Linked DNA regions of Canis lupus familiaris. The protein of the gene in region 3 purifies or fractionates together with the protein of the main gene of each other region. This does not show direct contact. Links are inferred from orthologs where the notes say so. Each region holds a gene or a part of one and is shown on either strand. Other genes may lie near its edges. The genes, in order: RICTOR, LRRK2, TUBB and EEF1A1.

Region 1 (4,019 bases), on a different chromosome or scaffold from region 3:
ATTCTTAATAACCCTTTGAAGTTCTCTCTGAGATGAAGAAACCAAGAGTTAAGCAAGGTCAAATAACTTGCCCCACATCACCTAACTATTAAGGATCCTAGCTGAGATTACAACCCAGAACTATTTGACTTTACAGTCTGATCTCTTTTCACTATACATTGATTGGCTCCTTTAGGAATTACAATGACCATGACCTCTATTTAATGATGAACTTTGTGAGATAGCTACATTAACGAACTTCTCAAAGGTTGCATAGAACAATTAAAATGAGGGCAAACACTGCCTTCGCATTAAAAACCTAGTTTTGGTTACCCAATCTTATCTAAAACATACCGTAATCCAATCCACAAACAGCTGCCCTTCGGCTGCAACCCAAACTGCCCTATAGTTCTCAAACTATTACAAAAGTGTAATTCTTTGTGATTTTCATCACCTTAGATCTACTAGTACTTCTATAACTTCCCTATATAATGAATGTTTTATTCCTATATAGCCTCTCTTATTTGCATATGTCTTTTGCAATCCATTGCAATTGGCTGTGTATATTCCAAACTAATTTGTATTTTGTCAGGGCAAGCAGAAATACCATTTTCTTCTGCCTTTTGCATCATCCTAAAAATGCCTGTCAACAATGGTGTTCACAAAGTGCTCCGGGCATATGACATTTTAAATAGTAAACATACAGAGTTATCTGTGTACTTGAGTAAGATTGGAGTAAATCAAGGGTTTATCAAATTTGTACATGAGCTCTTTTACAAACCAAAATTTTGATACCAACCACAGAAACTACTATATATAGCAGCTCAGCAAACCTAAGGCACAAATATAACTTGTTTTCAGCACCACATCCCAACAAGCTTTTAACGTGAAATTGAGACAGAAGATCTAATAAATGCTCTTTTCACCATATAGACGCATATGCCCACATAGAAATTAAATCACTAATAAAGCACATCTGTTACAGAACTCAAATGCTAATTTTCAACTCCGTGGGAATTTCGTTTTTGTAAGGAAACTTACTAGAAAATCTTTTCCCCACACACATTTTACATAGATTTTTTTCGTGTGTGTTTTATATAGTGAGGTTTCCAAAAGGTTACACAACAGTCAAAAGCGTTTACATCTTTGTATACTAACACTCAAACCCTATCTGCTGAAAGAAGTTCCAATTCAGTGCATCGGTAGAAACCCTTTCTGCCTGTCACACCAGCACCTAGTTTCGGCCAAAGCAAAGTCCCTGAACTTTCAGAATGAAAGATTCTTACAAAAACGTACTCTGGCAGCTACATGGAAAGTAGCTGTTTAGTTGATGACACAGTTATCTTACCCTAGGACAGACAAAATAAGGCAAGCCAGATAATGCATTATGCTTTAAATACCAGGGATGAGCCTCAACAATGGGCCTGCGTCTGACAAATACTTTAGATAACAGTCGTTGCGTCAAGCAGCACACGGGTTAGATTTTTCGAATTTCTAATAAAATGTTTACGACTCGGACTTCCTAAAGTGTTTTTCAGATCTCAGAAAGGAAGCCGATTCTCAGGCAGCCGAACCAGTTTACACTCGGCTACAGCCAGTGTGAAATCGGACTTCTTTGGCATCAGTAGACCAAATCCTGTTTACGGTGGAAGGGGGGAAAAAAAAAGAAATAAAGAAAGAAAGAAAGAAAAGAAAGAAAAAAATCCTTGGCGTGTAACTACTACATCTTGGGCGAGATACTGTCGAACAGACTCCAGCACGGTGAACTACACGGGAGATTCGCTGGCCAGTAGCTGGACCGGGTCCTTCCAAACGCCAGCGCGGGGTTCGCCCCGTTCCCAAGGTGTAAACAAACCCGCCGCCGCGGCAGAAGGTAAACAATGAACCTGCGGCGAGGGTGAGGGGGCGGTCTCGGCCAACTACGGTCCCAGCCGCCCGGGCACGGGAAGCGGGCATGGACCGCCGGCGCAGCCCAGACACCGAGCCGCAGTCCCCGATTCCAGGGGTCACTGCCGAGTCAGCCACGCTGCCCCCCCCCCCCACCGCCCGGGGCCGGGGGGCAAGGAGGAAAGCAGCGGCGCGGGCCGGCAAGGACCCGGCAGGTCCGGCCGCCGCGCGGGGGGACGGGGAGGGCAGGATGTGGTCGCTCTTCCCTCCGACATCCTCCGGCAGCCTAAGTAACAGCCCGACCTCCCGCCGGCCGCCTCCGGGCGGGGGTGCGGAGAGCCCCGGGGGTCGCCCGCCCCGCGGAGTCCCGCTCGGCGTGGGCCGGCGCCCGCCGCACCCGGAGGCCCGGAGAAAGGCGCGGGGCGCGGGGCGCGGGCACTGGGAAGGGGGATGGGTCCCGGGAGGCGGCCCCGGGCTCGGGCTCGGGCTCGGGCTCGGGCTCGGGCTCTGCCTCCCGCGCCCCCGCCGCCCGCGCGGGGCCCGCCCCTGCCCCCGGCCCCCGGCCCCGGCCCCGGCCCCCGCCCCCGGCCCCTCCCCACAGCGCGCCCCGGCCGGCGCCCGCGGCGCCCCGCGTTACCTCGGGTCAGATCCAGCGGGACGTTCTCCTCGCCGCTGTCATTCCGCCCTGTGCGAAACAGACACACAGCTCCGGTTAGGACGCGCTCGCAGGCCGGCGGCGGCGGCCCCGGCTCCGGCCAGCGCCCCTGAGGGCCCCGCCTGCCCGAGGCCAGGGGGAGGCCGGGGCCAGGGGTCGCGGGCCCCAGGCAGTGGGGGGGAGGGTTGCAGCGGGCTTACCTCGTATTCGGAGGTTCTTCAGCGAGCGGCCGCGGCCGATCGCCGCCATATTGACGGGTTTCAGTCACAACACCGGAAACCTCGCCCGATCGCGCGAGAACCCCTTCCCTGCCCCGCGCGCCGCGCCCGCCCCCTCCCCCACAGCCCCCCTCCGCGCGCGCGGCGGCGGCGGCGGCGGGGGCTCGGCCCGGGGCGAGGAGGGGCGAGGAGGGCGAGGAGGGGCGAGGAGGGGCGAGCAGGGGCGCGGCGCCCACCCCGGGGCTCGGTGCAGCTCGCGGCGCGCGCCCCCCCCCCCCCCCCCGGCGCGCCCGGCCCTCCGAGAGCCCGCGTGCCGGGAGGCGGCAGTGCCCACGAGGGGAATCCCATTGACGGGGCCTGCCGCGTGGAAGACGCTCCCCCTCCGGGGCGGCGGGGACTGTAACGGGAGCCGAGGCGAGCCGGGAGCAGCCCTGCCCTCGCCGCTCGCCAGTCGAGACCCCGTGCGCTCTGCACGGGCACAGCTGCGCGGCGTCGCCTGGCGCGGGCCCTTCCCGGACCGCTTCGCTGCGGCCGACTCGGCGCGTTAAGCCAACTTGGTTTCCGCCCTCGGCCGCGACCGCCGCGCGCGAAGCAGCCTGCGCTTGGGGCTTCCGAGCCACACTCGGTCCAAGGGGGCGGCCGGGCGGGCGCTCGGTCCCGGGCCGCCGGCGGGAGGGAGGCGGGAAGCGGAGGGCGCGGGGCGGCGCGGGGGGACCCGGGGGCGGCGCGGGGGGACCCGGGGGCGGCGGGCGGCTCCGGCTCCGGCTCCCCGGGGCGTGCGGCCCGAGCCCGGCCCCCGGAGGGGTGGCGGCTTCGCATTGTCCGCGCGGAAACCCAGTCGTTACTCGCGGTGGAGCTTTCAATTCCAGAAACTGCTTCACCCAGTCCATACACAGACACCTGGCCTCTGACCCAGCAGCCTTCTCTTTAAAGTGCACGAACTTTCAAGACCGGGTGAGCCTCGTGCCGCCTCCTATTCCCCAACTTGGTGTGTGTGTGTGGTTGTTTTTTCTTTTTTAAATCACAAGAGACTGGAAGTTAAACAGTGGAGCTCCTGCTTTAACGACCTCTCTCCTCCCAGGTCGTGCAATGTCCAGGATAAATAAGCATTCAATAAATAATAAGTTCGATGAATAATAAGTGCCTTGGGTTCCTTTGTTCCAGTGCTCTTTTTTGCGTTACTTAAGGAAAAAAAAAAACAAAAAAAAGCAAGACTGGAGATAACATTTGCCGTTGTGAATCATGGTGAGCAATTGCAAACGTGACCAAACGTAGGGATT
Region 2 (3,560 bases), on a different chromosome or scaffold from region 3:
TATATTTGGCTTACTAGAACTTTGGAAATCAAAACGTAATTTCTAAAGTAGAAAACCCAAGGGCACCTGGGTGGCTCAGTCAAGTGTCTGCCTTCAGCTCAGGTCATGATCTTGGGGTCCTGGGGTTTGAGCCCTACATTGGGGTCCCTGCTCAGTGGGGAGTCAGCTTCTCCCTCTTTCTCTGCTTCTCCCCCTACTATGCACACACTCTCTCCCTCTCTCTTTTGTCAAAAACATAAATAAAGTCTTTAAAAATAAATAAAATTGAAAACCCAGTTTATATGGACTAAAAAATTGCTTAGACATTGTTGAAAATCAAATTCACAATCTTGGCAACCTCATGAAAGAGCCATCTCACAATACTGAGGGAAGAAAAACATGTGGAATGGGTATCACACTGATAAGAGATGTGAAGGAAGCACAGATCAGGGTGTACATAAAAGAGAAACTCCAAAAGAAAGGAGCAAGTGGAGAAAGAACAAAGAATAGAGGAAAGATGATCCTGAGACCCCAATATTCACTCGTATTCTTTGGCTGAATTATCACTACAAAAAGTTGTGAGAGAAAGGGCATCAGAAACACGTTCTCAGATTCTCTCAGAAACATTCAGCCTCTCAGACATTCGTTTCCTTCAGGATCCTCTAATTAGTTTTATTCCCATTTCTATGCATTTGAAATGAGGAATGACAGAAGTAAGAAACCTTAAAATTGAAATACTTTAGTAATCCTAACAGCTATGAAAAAAACTCACAATTTTAAGACAGTTGTTCTCTTCTCAAGACTTCTGACAGTTGTGTAACATGAGAGTTAATAAATTATACTTATTCACCAGTCTACAGAAGGCATTAACCACGTTACCTTAAAATTAAGACTCTCATTTATGATGGTTTTCCGAAGTTTTGCCAAAGCATCAGATTCCTCAGTGGCATTCACAAAGTGGTAATCCCTTATTGCAGGAAACCCTCGCTTGTTCAAGAGTTCCTTGGTGATTTTACTTATGCAGGCTTTACGCTGCTTTTCATCAGAAACATCCAAATGCGTGCCAACGAGGATCACAGGGGAAGAAGAAGCACGAGCCTATAGGAAGTGATACAAAATATTCTTGTGTTTGTTTTAAAATCAAGACCGCTTACAGTTCTGTTCATATTTACTCTTTATGAAATTCAGTTGAGTGGAAATTAGAAATTAAAAGACATCAAGAAGAAGAAAATGTCAACTGTCTTTCCTTCCTTAAACTTAGGGGGAAAAGGTAACCTTAAGAAATTTTATTTTATTTTATTTTATTTTATTTTATTATCTTTTAACCTTAAAAAATTTTAAAGTCATTCTTATACTCCTTCTTATTCCAAGTTATACCACTTTTCAGGCAGCCTATATAACAGAAGTCTATTTTTTTCTTTTATGCCTTAAAATGGGTTATTCTGTAAGTGTATTTTGGACTTCTAAATAAAATAAGCATTTAATAAACCCAAGACTATATCAAAATGACATAATATGGTTTATATTTTCTCTTCCTTATCTATAAATTCAATCTCCTGAATTCATTTTAAAGTCATTCGATTTGGAGTCCACAGGAACAACAACAAAAAAAGGTACTAGAGCAAGTATGACCACCACTATAATATTCGCTCACTTTGGCTAGCTATGACCCAAAAAAAAAGGAAGTTAAAAAAATTACCAAAATTACAAAATGGGCTTGTATGCAGCCAAAATATCTGCTAAAATGTCCTGACACAAACTCTTTTAAGGACTTGGCTCACAGGAGAGCCCACTGATGCTTCATTCAAAGAACATCACTCACTCTTGCTTTATCTCAATTCTAAAAAGCTGTACTACATCAAGAAACACCTAACAGCATGACAGCAAGGGACAAAGTGGAAAAATTACAAAAAGGGATTCCAGATATAAGAGTTTATTAATCTGATGCCATTTAAAAGTGCAAGATCTGAAGTACTTCTTACTACATTGCCAGTGAGGACATAACTGATGATGTATGGATTGCTTTTGTTTAGTATAGTTTAAGTCAGGGAAGTTCATCCTCCATTTAAGAAATAAAACGATCAAGGGTGCCCAGGTGGCTCAGTCAGTTAAGAATCTAACTCTTGATCTCAGCTCAGGTCATGATCTCAGGGTTTTAAGATTGATCCCTGCATTAGGCTCCACGCTGGGCATGAAGCCTGCTGCTTGGGATTCTCTCTCCCTTTCACTCTGCCCCTCCCTCCTCAAAAATAAAATAAAATAAAATGATCAAAAATAGTTATACATTTTCCATTCTTTCAGCTTAAAGGGCTTTAAGTATCCATAACATTTACCAATATGGAATACACTATTTTCATGTCACAACCTAATTACACTTTAAAATTCTCAACTCAAAACGTTAATGCTTCTAATTTTATTTTTAAAAACTTAGGAGGCTGTTTGAAGCAACTGTCCAAAATCAATTACATTACATGTAGAAAATTTTTTTAAAAAATTAAGATTTTATTTATTTATCCATGAGAGACACAGAGGCAGAGACACGGGCAGAGGGAGAAGCAGGCTCCATGCAGCAAGCCTGATGTGGGACTTGAACCCGGGAACCCGGGATCATGCACTGAGCCAAAGGCAGACACCCAACCGCTAAGCCACCCAGGCATCCCTAAAAAATATTTTCTACTTTCAAATAATTAGAACACTTGACCTTTATATTGAAGAGCCAAGGCTTCATGGCATCCACTTCAGCCTGCCCTTTGCTGAGATCATAAACAGCAAGGTAAAGGGCTCGTTGGGTCATGAAGTGGGGATGAGTGCTGTAGAATTCCTCACGACCTAAAGAAGGATTAGAGACTTCTTTTAGCTTTCCAAACAATAAGCAAGAAGCCTTTAAAAAGTTTTTTTCTTAGGTGATAATATCTAATATTTAGCATACAAAAAGAGAGAGAGATAGAAATAGCCAAAGACAATGTTTAGAAGACCCCATTGGGCTCGTACTAGGAGTTGGTAACTTTTAGCGTGTGTGTCAATTACCAACCCCCTGAAGTATTGAAGCTTCAGCTGGCTCCAACTGTTAGTTCCTAACACCAGAATTCCATGAAATTCACTCTGGTGGCAAGGGTAAAATTAGAAGTAAATGGCTTTGGAATAATTCCATAGGATCTACTGGGTCTCTCTGCAGTATTGGAATAAGATCTCAGCTTTTAAATCCCTGTCCTAAATAAAAGAAAATTCTGAATAAAGGATTTTAGCAAAATAAATACCTGCAAAATCCCACACATTTAGAATGAGGTCTTTCTTCCCTTTGCCTCTTATTTGGATAGGCCAGTCTTTTACATCTATACCAACTGTGGCACTCTGCACCCCGAGATCTGATTTCTTGGTTTTTGTTAATTGCTGCAATAAGGTAGTTTTACCACTCCCAGTATTTCCCACAATCATAAGCTTCATTCGGTTATAGGGCACAGCCTTTTTTAACCGCTGTTGAAGAAACCTGGTATTTGAAAAACAAAAATTAAATGATAAACTGCTTAACAGTGTACTTAAGATATAGGTGAATTCTTATTCATTGAAATTTTTAAAATATC
Region 3 (4,251 bases):
CCACGGCTGGTTAGAGGTGCAAAGCCAGGCATGAAGAAATGGAGACGTGGGAAGGGCACCATGTTGACTGCCAGCTTGCGGAGGTCAGCATTGAGCTGACCAGGGAAGCGGAGGCAGGTGGTGACACCACTCATGGTGGCTGAGACAAGGTGGTTGAGGTCCCCATAGGTTGGCGTGGTCAGCTTGAGGGTGCGGAAGCAGATGTCGTACAGGGCCTCATTGTCAATGCAATAGGTCTCATCCGTGTTCTCTACCAACTGATGGACAGAGAGAGTGGCATTGTAGGGCTCAACCACCGTGTCAGACACTTTGGGGGAGGGCACCACACTGAAGGTGTTCATGATGCGGTCAGGGTACTCTTCTCGGATCTTGCTGATGAGCAGCGTGCCCATGCCAGAGCCTGTGCCCCCACCCAGTGAGTGGGTCAGCTGGAAGCCCTGCAGGCAGTCACAGCTCTCAGCTTCCTTCCGCACCACATCCAGGACTGAGTCCACTAGCTCAGCCCCCTCTGTGTAGTGGCCCTTGGCCCAGTTGTTGCCAGCCCCAGACTGCCCTGGAATGAGGTGAACAAAATTCTCTTTATTAGCAAAGCATCAAAGATAAAGGACCATTTCCACTCTTCAGCTTTTAAAATAACATACACGAATGTGCCTTTTTTCTTACTCACCTGTGATACATCCCTGCCTCAGTATCTACCATCTAAGGCGGTCATTCCCAACACCCTGCGTTAGAGATCTCAAAACATATCCCCAGATAAACGCTCCAGCATTAAAAATAACTTCTTAGCTCTTGCAGTCTCCTTCCTTCAAATACACTGAATAGCACTACTAATATGTGCATAACTCACCAAAAACAAAGTTGTCTGGTCTGAATATCTGCCCAAAAGGACCAGAGCGAACAGAGTCCATGGTCCCAGGTTCTAGATCCACCAAGATAGCACGAGGTACGTATTTGCCACCTATATGGAAGAAAGAATAAGAATTGGTGGACTAGAAGACCAAATGGAGCTGAGCTGGAGGACACCAGGGGGCAGCAGAGCTGATCTTTTGCCCCACCGTGAAGTCAAATCAGGGTAAGACCTTCTTTAAAAATCAGACCCATCCCAAGGTGGGTTCTCCAGGGCTGGAAAGGAGACCCCGGAGAAGTGGGAGCCCCGCGTTCCCCGTTCCCGCCCTCACCTGTAGCTTCGTTGTAATACACGGAGATGCGATCCAGCTGCAGGTCGCTGTCACCGTGGTAGGTTCCGGTGGGATCGATGCCGTGTTCATCGCTGATGACCTCCCAGAACTGCCGAGGAAGAGCAGGGAGACTTGCACAGCTCTGGTCCCAGCCAGTGATGCCCACCCGACCGACACATTTCAAGTGCAAACACGCACACGGAGAGCGCACCTCCGCCGCCTACCGGGCGCTCTGCTTGCCTGCCGCGCCCTCCACCAGACACCCGCAGCCCCCTAAGGGCTGCAGCGTCCACTGCTCGGGTGCAGCCGCGGAGGCCCGGCGACCGGTGGACGCGGTGCGGTGGGGGTGTGCCGGGCGGAGGCTTCCGAGCCGAGCCGACCGGCACACCCTCCCCCCGCGCACGAGCCGGGGCGAGGGACAGAAGCCGCCGCAGTGGACGCCCCTCCACGTGACTGCGGCGCCCGCCCGTCGGCGCTGACAAAGGGAGGCGTCGCGCGTGGGCGGGGGCCTGTGCCGCTAGCGCGCCCCCAGCCGGCCAGCCCGGCGCTTGGAGCCCCGCCCCGCCCCGCCCAGCCCCGGGCTACAACGTAGCAGCAGGACTTCCTCCCTGCCCTGCCCCCGCCACACTGTAACCGCGCGCAGAAAAAGAAACTACCCCCACCTCCCGCTTGAGCCTCCGATTTTCTTCCTTGGCTAGCTTGTTATACCTGGCTTTAAGTACGGCTTCTCGGCCCTTCTCCCACCGTTTAGCCCTGAGGGACCCTTGAAAGAAAAGGATCCTCCCGCCCTCTTTCTCCATATCGGTGCACGCCCTAAAAGGGTCTCTTTACTGGAGATGAAAGGAAATTAATACTGCAGGGACCAATCTTCCATCCACAAGGGCCTACGGGACCGCCCCTCGCGGACTGCCCTCATTTTTGGGGCGGGCACCGCGCGGTGCAGCCCACCCTGGCGCGTCGCGCCCCCCTCCCCACCGTGGGCCCAGGACCCCGCGGCCGCCGCCCAGCCGCGCTCCCTGTCCCCCTCCCTTCCGTGGAGCCGGGCCCCCCCCCGCGGAGGGGATGCACACGGGGACAGCCTCTCCGCGCTGTATCTCGGACCGTTTCCGCATCTCCTCTCTCCCCGTTCCTCGGACCACTACAACACTTTCAAGTAAAATTTTAAAGAGCCAGTCTTCCGACTCCAAACCCGAAACGTCCTCAAAAGCTCACCCAAAATTAGCCAGCCAAGTACAATTCCCCCATTTTTCAAAAGTAAATTCTAGCTGCAACCGTGTATTGTATATGGAAAACTTTTGAGGGCAAAGCGGGACAATGGATGGAACGCAAATATGTCCCACATTCTTCATCATTTAGCTGGATTTGTTTTTCTTCTAAAAAAAAAATAGTTAAAAGAAAAGGCTTAAAATCCTTACCTTGGCACCGATCTGGTTACCACACTGACCGGCCTGGATGTGCACGATTTCCCTCATTGTTAAAATTTATTTTAATTCTTTTTGCTTCTCTCAAAGGTGTGTACGGGGCAGAAAGTGAGATGGGGTTTTTTCCTATACTGCAATTCGCAGGCTGGAAGGATGGGACGCGTCCAGAGGCTGGAGCAACGAGGTCCGAGCGCAGCGACAGGAACGTTGAGATGTAGAAAGAAGCGGGGAGGGCGAAGAAGGAGGAAAGGCGGGCAGGGCGGGGCGCGCGTGCGCGGAGGCTGCAGGCGGGAGAGCGCCCGCGCCGCGGCAGGCAGACAAAGCCTCGCTGGAGTGGGCCCCGATTGGTCAGTGCCGGTCACGTAGGTCTCGTCTATTGGGCTCCGCTCGGGTGGATGAACGCTGGCCTCCCTGGGAGTCGTAGTCCTCCATTGTTGTCTACGCTGGAAAATGAAGGGAGGGATGAGTGGATACTGGATTTTTGGTTGGGGGGGGGGTAGAGTTGGCCTTGTTGTTGTTTTTTAATGAAAAATGACCTTGCGCAAATTTCTTTCCCCTACACTTGAGTTTTTTGTACTAAAAGGGAGTCATTTGGGGGGGATACAGGCATTGGGAACCCTGGGGTGCCAGGAGTTGGAAGGCGAAGTGGGCACGCCCTGAACGTTCCCTGCTGCGGTAGCTCTTGGTAAGAGGGCTGCTTAGCTCAGCTAAAACTGGGGAGAAATGCGGCACCCTGCTCTGGTAGCAAACAGCGGGTCCTTCGGTGACCCACGGCATGAAATCCAGGAAGCCGCTGCTCCCCCAGATAGGAAAAACGGGATGGCCCTCCTGTTATTTCCTTGGAAATTTTCTAATGATAATGTTTAGAAAGAGAAACAAAAATGCAGCAATAGGTTTTCAGAGTAGAGATGTAATTGAGGGTGTGTTCAAATAAATTGAATGGTTTAGAAAAGCTGGTATGTAGAATCTGTGAAGTCAGAAGTCTATCCATGAAAGTGATGAAGTTTTTGGAATTATAAGGTGAGGTTCGGAGCCGACGACCAAGAAAGGATTCTTGAGACATCTTTGGTGCAAAATGGTGGTTTTATTAAAGCAGGGGGACAGGACCCGTGGGCAGGAAGAGCTGCTGCCCGGTGAGGGGTGGCTGATTATATACCTGGGAGTTGGGAGGGGTTTGAGGATAGCGTACTCTCTAAGGAATTTGGAAGCAAGGTTTCCAGGACCTTGAGGGGACCAGCTATTGTTGGGAAAAGGTCACTTATTACCGGCTAATAAAACCTGATTCGTGAGACCCTTTAGATGTGTGTGGGTGGGCCATGTGCTTAGGGGATGATTGCCAACATGTATCTTGTGGGTTTAGATAAAGGATCTTTCTAAAGGAATTTTTATGTTAAAAAGACTTACAGGATCCTGGGGGTTGGGCTAAGATTGCCTTTTCTCCTTAGCAAAGTATGAACATCGAGGCAGTTGAGTCCGTAGAGGAAGGTCCCTCTGCCTGTTTCAAGGGCTTGTCAATGTGCTGCCCTGGGCTTGTGCTTTGTCCTCAGCCAGTCCTCTGTTCCCCCATCAAAAGGGGTTCTTAGGGCAGCCCTGGTGGCTCAGCGGTTTAGCGCGCCTTCGCAGGGCGTGATCCTGGAGACACGGAGTCGAGT
Region 4 (4,098 bases), about 35 Mb from region 3:
TCAACAATGGCAGCATCCCCAGATTTCAAGAACTTGGGACCATCTTCCAGCTTCTTTCCAGAACGACGATCTATCTTTTCCTTCAGCTCAGCAAACTTGCAGGCAATGTGAGCTGTGTGACAATCCAGCACAGGTGCATATCCAGCACTGATTTGGCCTGGATGGTTCAGGATAATCACCTTGGAGGAAAAAATTGCATTTAATACATTTCAAACAGGATCTAGCAAAGAGAACATTGCCACTCTTAAGTGTGTTACCTGAGCTGTGAAGCCAGCTGCTTCCATTGGTGGGTCATTTTTGCTGTCACCAGCCACATTGCCACGACGAACATCTTTGACAGATACGTTCTTGACATTGAAGCCCACATTGTCCCCAGGAAGAGCCTCACTCAAAGCTTCATGGTGCATTTCAACAGACTTTACTTCAGTTGTAACATTGACTGGAGCAAAGGTGACCACCATACCAGGCTTAAGAACACCAGTCTCCACTCGACCCACTGGGACAGTACCAATACCTAAAATATTTAGAAGCATCGTGTCAGATACCTTCTGTGAAGAACAATCCATAAATCGTATTTTTAAATGGCAATGTTCAACTTACCACCAATTTTGTAGACGTCTTGGAGAGGCAGACGCAAGGGCTTATCAGTTGGACGAGTTGGTGGCAGAATGCAATCCAGGGCTTCAAGCAGTGTGGTTCCGCTGGCATTCCCATCTTTACGGGTGACTTTCCATCCCTTGAACCAAGGCATCTAAAAAAACAAGATTGTCCATTAGCATTCCCCAAACTGTTGTCATTTAGTGTCAACATATGCCTCTTCTATCACTTCCTCAAAGCCTTGAAGTCACTTACGTTAGCACTTGGCTCCAGCATGTTGTCACCATTCCAACCAGAAATTGGCACAAATGCTACTGTGTCGGGGTTGTAGCCAATTTTCTTAATGTAGGTGCTGACTTCTTTAACGATTTCCTCGTATCTCTTCTGGCTGTAGGGTGGTTCAGTGGAATCCATTTTGTTAACACCAACAATTAGTTGTTTTACACCCAGTGTGTAAGCCAGAAGGGCATGCTCACGGGTCTGCCCATTCTTGGAGATACCTGCTTCAAATTCACCAACACCAGCAGCAACAATCAGGACAGCACAGTCAGCCTTTAAAAGACAAAAAGACATCCTGTTAAATAAATGTTCCTCAAAAAGATGAACTCCCCCTTTTTTCCCATACAAAACCCAAGCCTACAGTTATTTTCAAGTAATCCTACAAACCTGAGATGTGCCTGTAATCATGTTTTTGATAAAGTCTCTGTGTCCTGGGGCATCAATGATGGTCACGTAATACTTGCTGGTCTCGAATTTCCACAGGGAGATATCAATGGTGATACCACGTTCACGTTCAGCTTTCAGTTTATCCAAGACCCAGGCATACTTGAAGGAGCCTTTTCCCATCTGTAAGGATTAAGAATGGTTACTTGGTAACTTAAACACAAACTTCCAACTTGAAATCCCTAACTCCTGCTTAAGCAGAAATGCGGATTCCACTTTACAGTTAGGTAGTTCTATCTCCCAAAGTTACATAGATAAAAAACTCTTCAGCAAGCACAAACAATCTACCACAAGCAGCAGATTCTGATAGACTAGTAACTAGTTTTGGGGAAGTTGACACTGGCCGACTTTTTTTTAACGATCTCTCATTAAGTTAGTATACCAACCTCAGCAGCCTCCTTCTCAAATTTTTCGATAGTTCTTTTGTCGATCCCACCACATTTGTAGATCAGATGGCCAGTAGTGGTAGACTTGCCCGAATCTACGTGTCCAATGACGACGATGTTGATGTGAGTCTTCTCCTTTCCCATTTTGGTTTAGGTTTAGCGGTGGTTTTCACGACACCTAAATTTTAGGGTAGGAACAAACCCTTTTAACTACTGTCCCGGAGGCTTGAAAATAAGCCACGACCAAACTCGCAGAGACCAAATTCCAAGAATTACAACCAGGGCCAAGCTGGCCCAACTCTCGTCTCCACCCACCAAGCGTGGGGTTAACTCCACCGCATAAAATCCCCTCCCCCCTCCGGGGAAGGCCTGCTTGTAAGGCGTTGAGGCGGAATGGAGGTGCCAAGACGGCGTTCGGTACACCGTAGGGTCACAGGAAGCAGCGGCCTAACAGGGAAAGGCCCTTTTCCTTTGTGTGGGTGACTCACCCGCCCGCTCTCCCGGGCCGCCGCGTCCTCCATTTTGAGCTGCCTGCAGCAGGGCCGGAGAGCGGCCATCTTTCCGCGCACGCAACTGGTGCCGAGCGGGCCGGCCTCTCCGCCCGGCGTAGGACGGTACATCGCGGCGCGAGGCCCGGCACCAGAGCCGCCCGGCCCACTCCACGGGACTCTCCCGCGTCCGACGCGGCGCCCACGGCTCGTGGGCCTTCCCCGCCTCGTCGGACATGTGCGCCGGGACGAGCGGGCCTCGTCGCCGCCCTCCGCGCCTCGCGGCGGCCCCACACCCCAAGAACGCGACGACCGCGGAAAAGCCCACCCCGTTCAAGTCCTGACCAACCTCCGCTCAACCATCTCGACGGAGAAAACCATAGCGGCCTTCTTTTGGTAGGTCAAACGTCTGGAGGCTTAAACCACTGTACGAGGGCAGGCAAGAAGGTGCGGCGGAATTCGCACGCGGCCGCCACAACACCCAAGCCAGGCCTCAAACCAACCACGAGGCAAAAGGGGTCCTAAAAAAAGGCGCAAGGCCTGGAACCTTCCCACCCACTCACAATCCGAAATTCGGGGTCAAGAACATCGTAAAGTGGCTCGGTGGCGCGGCCGTTGTAAAAGGCACGCGAGGGCCGCTGGCAGCTCAAAGAGGCCAGGCCCGCGGGAGCCACACCCGGCACTCACCTGTGTTCTGGCGGCAAACCCGTTGCGAAAAAGAACGTTCAAGGCGGCTACGGCACTTATATACGGTCCTCCCCCACCCTCGGGGAAGAGGGCGGAGCCAGCACACGACACCACTTTCCCAGTTTACCCCGCGCCAACTCCATCAGGCACCGGTTCGGTCGCCATCCCCTCCCCCTACTGCTCGGGGACCGTGGGCGATGTGCGCTCAGCCCACTAAAGAGCGCACATCTCCTCGCGCATGCTCCTCTTGACCCCGATGACGGCGAGAGTGAGTGGGTGGGGAGGCGGGGACGAGCTTTCCGCTCGTTCTATGTTAGTGAGAGTTTAACGACGGTCCCTGGGATTCCCCGAGGCTGAAGCGAGTCCTCCTTTGTATGAATTACTCTCAGCTCCAGCTGAAGGGGCGGGCGGGGGGGCGAGGAGGCGGCCCTGCGGGGAAGTACTGAATCTGCCCTCTACGGTTCCTGGTTTAACTGCAAAGATGGTGTGGCGATTGGAGTACGCCTTCCCTCCGCAGTATACCTCCAGTTCTTAACCTGGTCCTCTCCAAGGTCCAGGACTGCCCCTTTGAGCCGCTTCCTCCGCTCGTCGCAGGTCCGCCCTGGGCTGGCTCCTCCCTCGCCCCTGCCTTCTCTTCCTCTCGGGGCTGGAGAGTACAAGGCCCGGGCTCCCAGGGCAGCGAGGGACCCGAGGGGCCGCCTTCACAGCCGGAGAATCCGCAAGGGTTTCAACTCGGTGGCCGTGACCCGGACGAATGTGCTCTTGGGCTAGCCTTTTGGCTTGTTCCAGTCCGAGCCCGCTGCTTTTACCGAAGCCCGAGTCACACGTTCACCCCATATGGTACTCCAGACGTCTAGTTCTTCAGTTCAGAATAGATTTCAATCCCACAGTCTGCCTTTTAACTCTAGTTTCATTACGTTATAGAAAGACCCTATGTGTGTCTACTCTCGTGGTACATTTTTTCTACAGTGTACACTCATTTGATTGCTAGCATGAGCAACCTAAAAAGAATTTTTCAAATTCAGTCTTTCCGCATGATCTCAAGTAGAAACTAAGATCTACGGCTTCAGCAAGCTTATCCACCCAATTTCCTATCCCCAACACTTGCTGCGAATCACTGCTTCTTAAAGGTGGCCTAGCCCATTTAAATAAATTAGTTCATTTTCTGTTAAATGGATTTTAACTCCATTTGAGCATAAATTTAGGGCGAAACCGGA

Evidence for each region.
Region 1: the proteins of TUBB (region 3) and RICTOR purify together in Homo sapiens (affinity purification with mass spectrometry; 3 studies listed by BioGRID and IntAct, with this or other methods). This does not show direct contact. The link is inferred for Canis lupus familiaris from reciprocal best matches to the Homo sapiens genes TUBB and RICTOR.
Region 2: the proteins of TUBB (region 3) and LRRK2 purify together in Homo sapiens (co-immunoprecipitation; 5 studies listed by BioGRID and IntAct, with this or other methods). This does not show direct contact. The link is inferred for Canis lupus familiaris from reciprocal best matches to the Homo sapiens genes TUBB and LRRK2.
Region 4: the proteins of TUBB (region 3) and EEF1A1 fractionate together in Homo sapiens (co-fractionation; 3 studies listed by BioGRID). This does not show direct contact. The link is inferred for Canis lupus familiaris from reciprocal best matches to the Homo sapiens genes TUBB and EEF1A1.

What each region holds. Positions count from the first base shown.
Region 1 is NC_049225.1:70,811,240-70,815,258, reverse strand, and holds the start of RICTOR (rapamycin-insensitive companion of mTOR), read right to left. Parts: upstream 2,823-4,019; 5' UTR 2,771-2,822; coding exon 2,722-2,770; intron 2,552-2,721; coding exon 2,504-2,551; intron 1,853-2,503; exon of another isoform or gene 1,343-1,852; intron 1-1,342. UniProt on the Homo sapiens protein: Component of the mechanistic target of rapamycin complex 2 (mTORC2), which transduces signals from growth factors to pathways involved in proliferation, cytoskeletal organization, lipogenesis and anabolic output.
Region 2 is NC_049248.1:33,236,148-33,239,707, reverse strand, and holds part of LRRK2 (leucine-rich repeat serine/threonine-protein kinase 2), read right to left. Parts: intron 3,467-3,560; coding exon 3,237-3,466; intron 2,809-3,236; coding exon 2,681-2,808; intron 1,078-2,680; coding exon 859-1,077; intron 1-858. UniProt on the Homo sapiens protein: Serine/threonine-protein kinase which phosphorylates a broad range of proteins involved in multiple processes such as neuronal plasticity, innate immunity, autophagy, and vesicle trafficking.
Region 3 is NC_049233.1:649,886-654,136, reverse strand, and holds the start of TUBB (tubulin beta chain), read right to left. Parts: upstream 2,851-4,251; 5' UTR 2,651-2,850; coding exon 2,594-2,650; intron 1,288-2,593; coding exon 1,179-1,287; intron 959-1,178; coding exon 848-958; intron 554-847; coding exon 1-553. UniProt on the Homo sapiens protein: Tubulin is the major constituent of microtubules, a cylinder consisting of laterally associated linear protofilaments composed of alpha- and beta-tubulin heterodimers.
Region 4 is NC_049233.1:35,820,462-35,824,559, forward strand, and holds the start of EEF1A1 (elongation factor 1-alpha 1), read right to left. Parts: upstream 2,819-4,098; intron 2,704-2,818; coding exon of another isoform or gene 2,595-2,703; intron 2,532-2,594; coding exon of another isoform or gene 2,431-2,531; intron 1,885-2,430; 5' UTR 1,851-1,884; coding exon 1,707-1,850; intron 1,444-1,706; coding exon 1,264-1,443; intron 1,150-1,263; coding exon 853-1,149; intron 752-852; coding exon 601-751; intron 515-600; coding exon 258-514; intron 180-257; coding exon 1-179. Other genes in the region: uncharacterized protein LOC119874198, read left to right, coding at 2,431-2,531, 2,595-2,703, 2,819-3,149, 3,476-3,721. UniProt on the Homo sapiens protein: Translation elongation factor that catalyzes the GTP-dependent binding of aminoacyl-tRNA (aa-tRNA) to the A-site of ribosomes during the elongation phase of protein synthesis.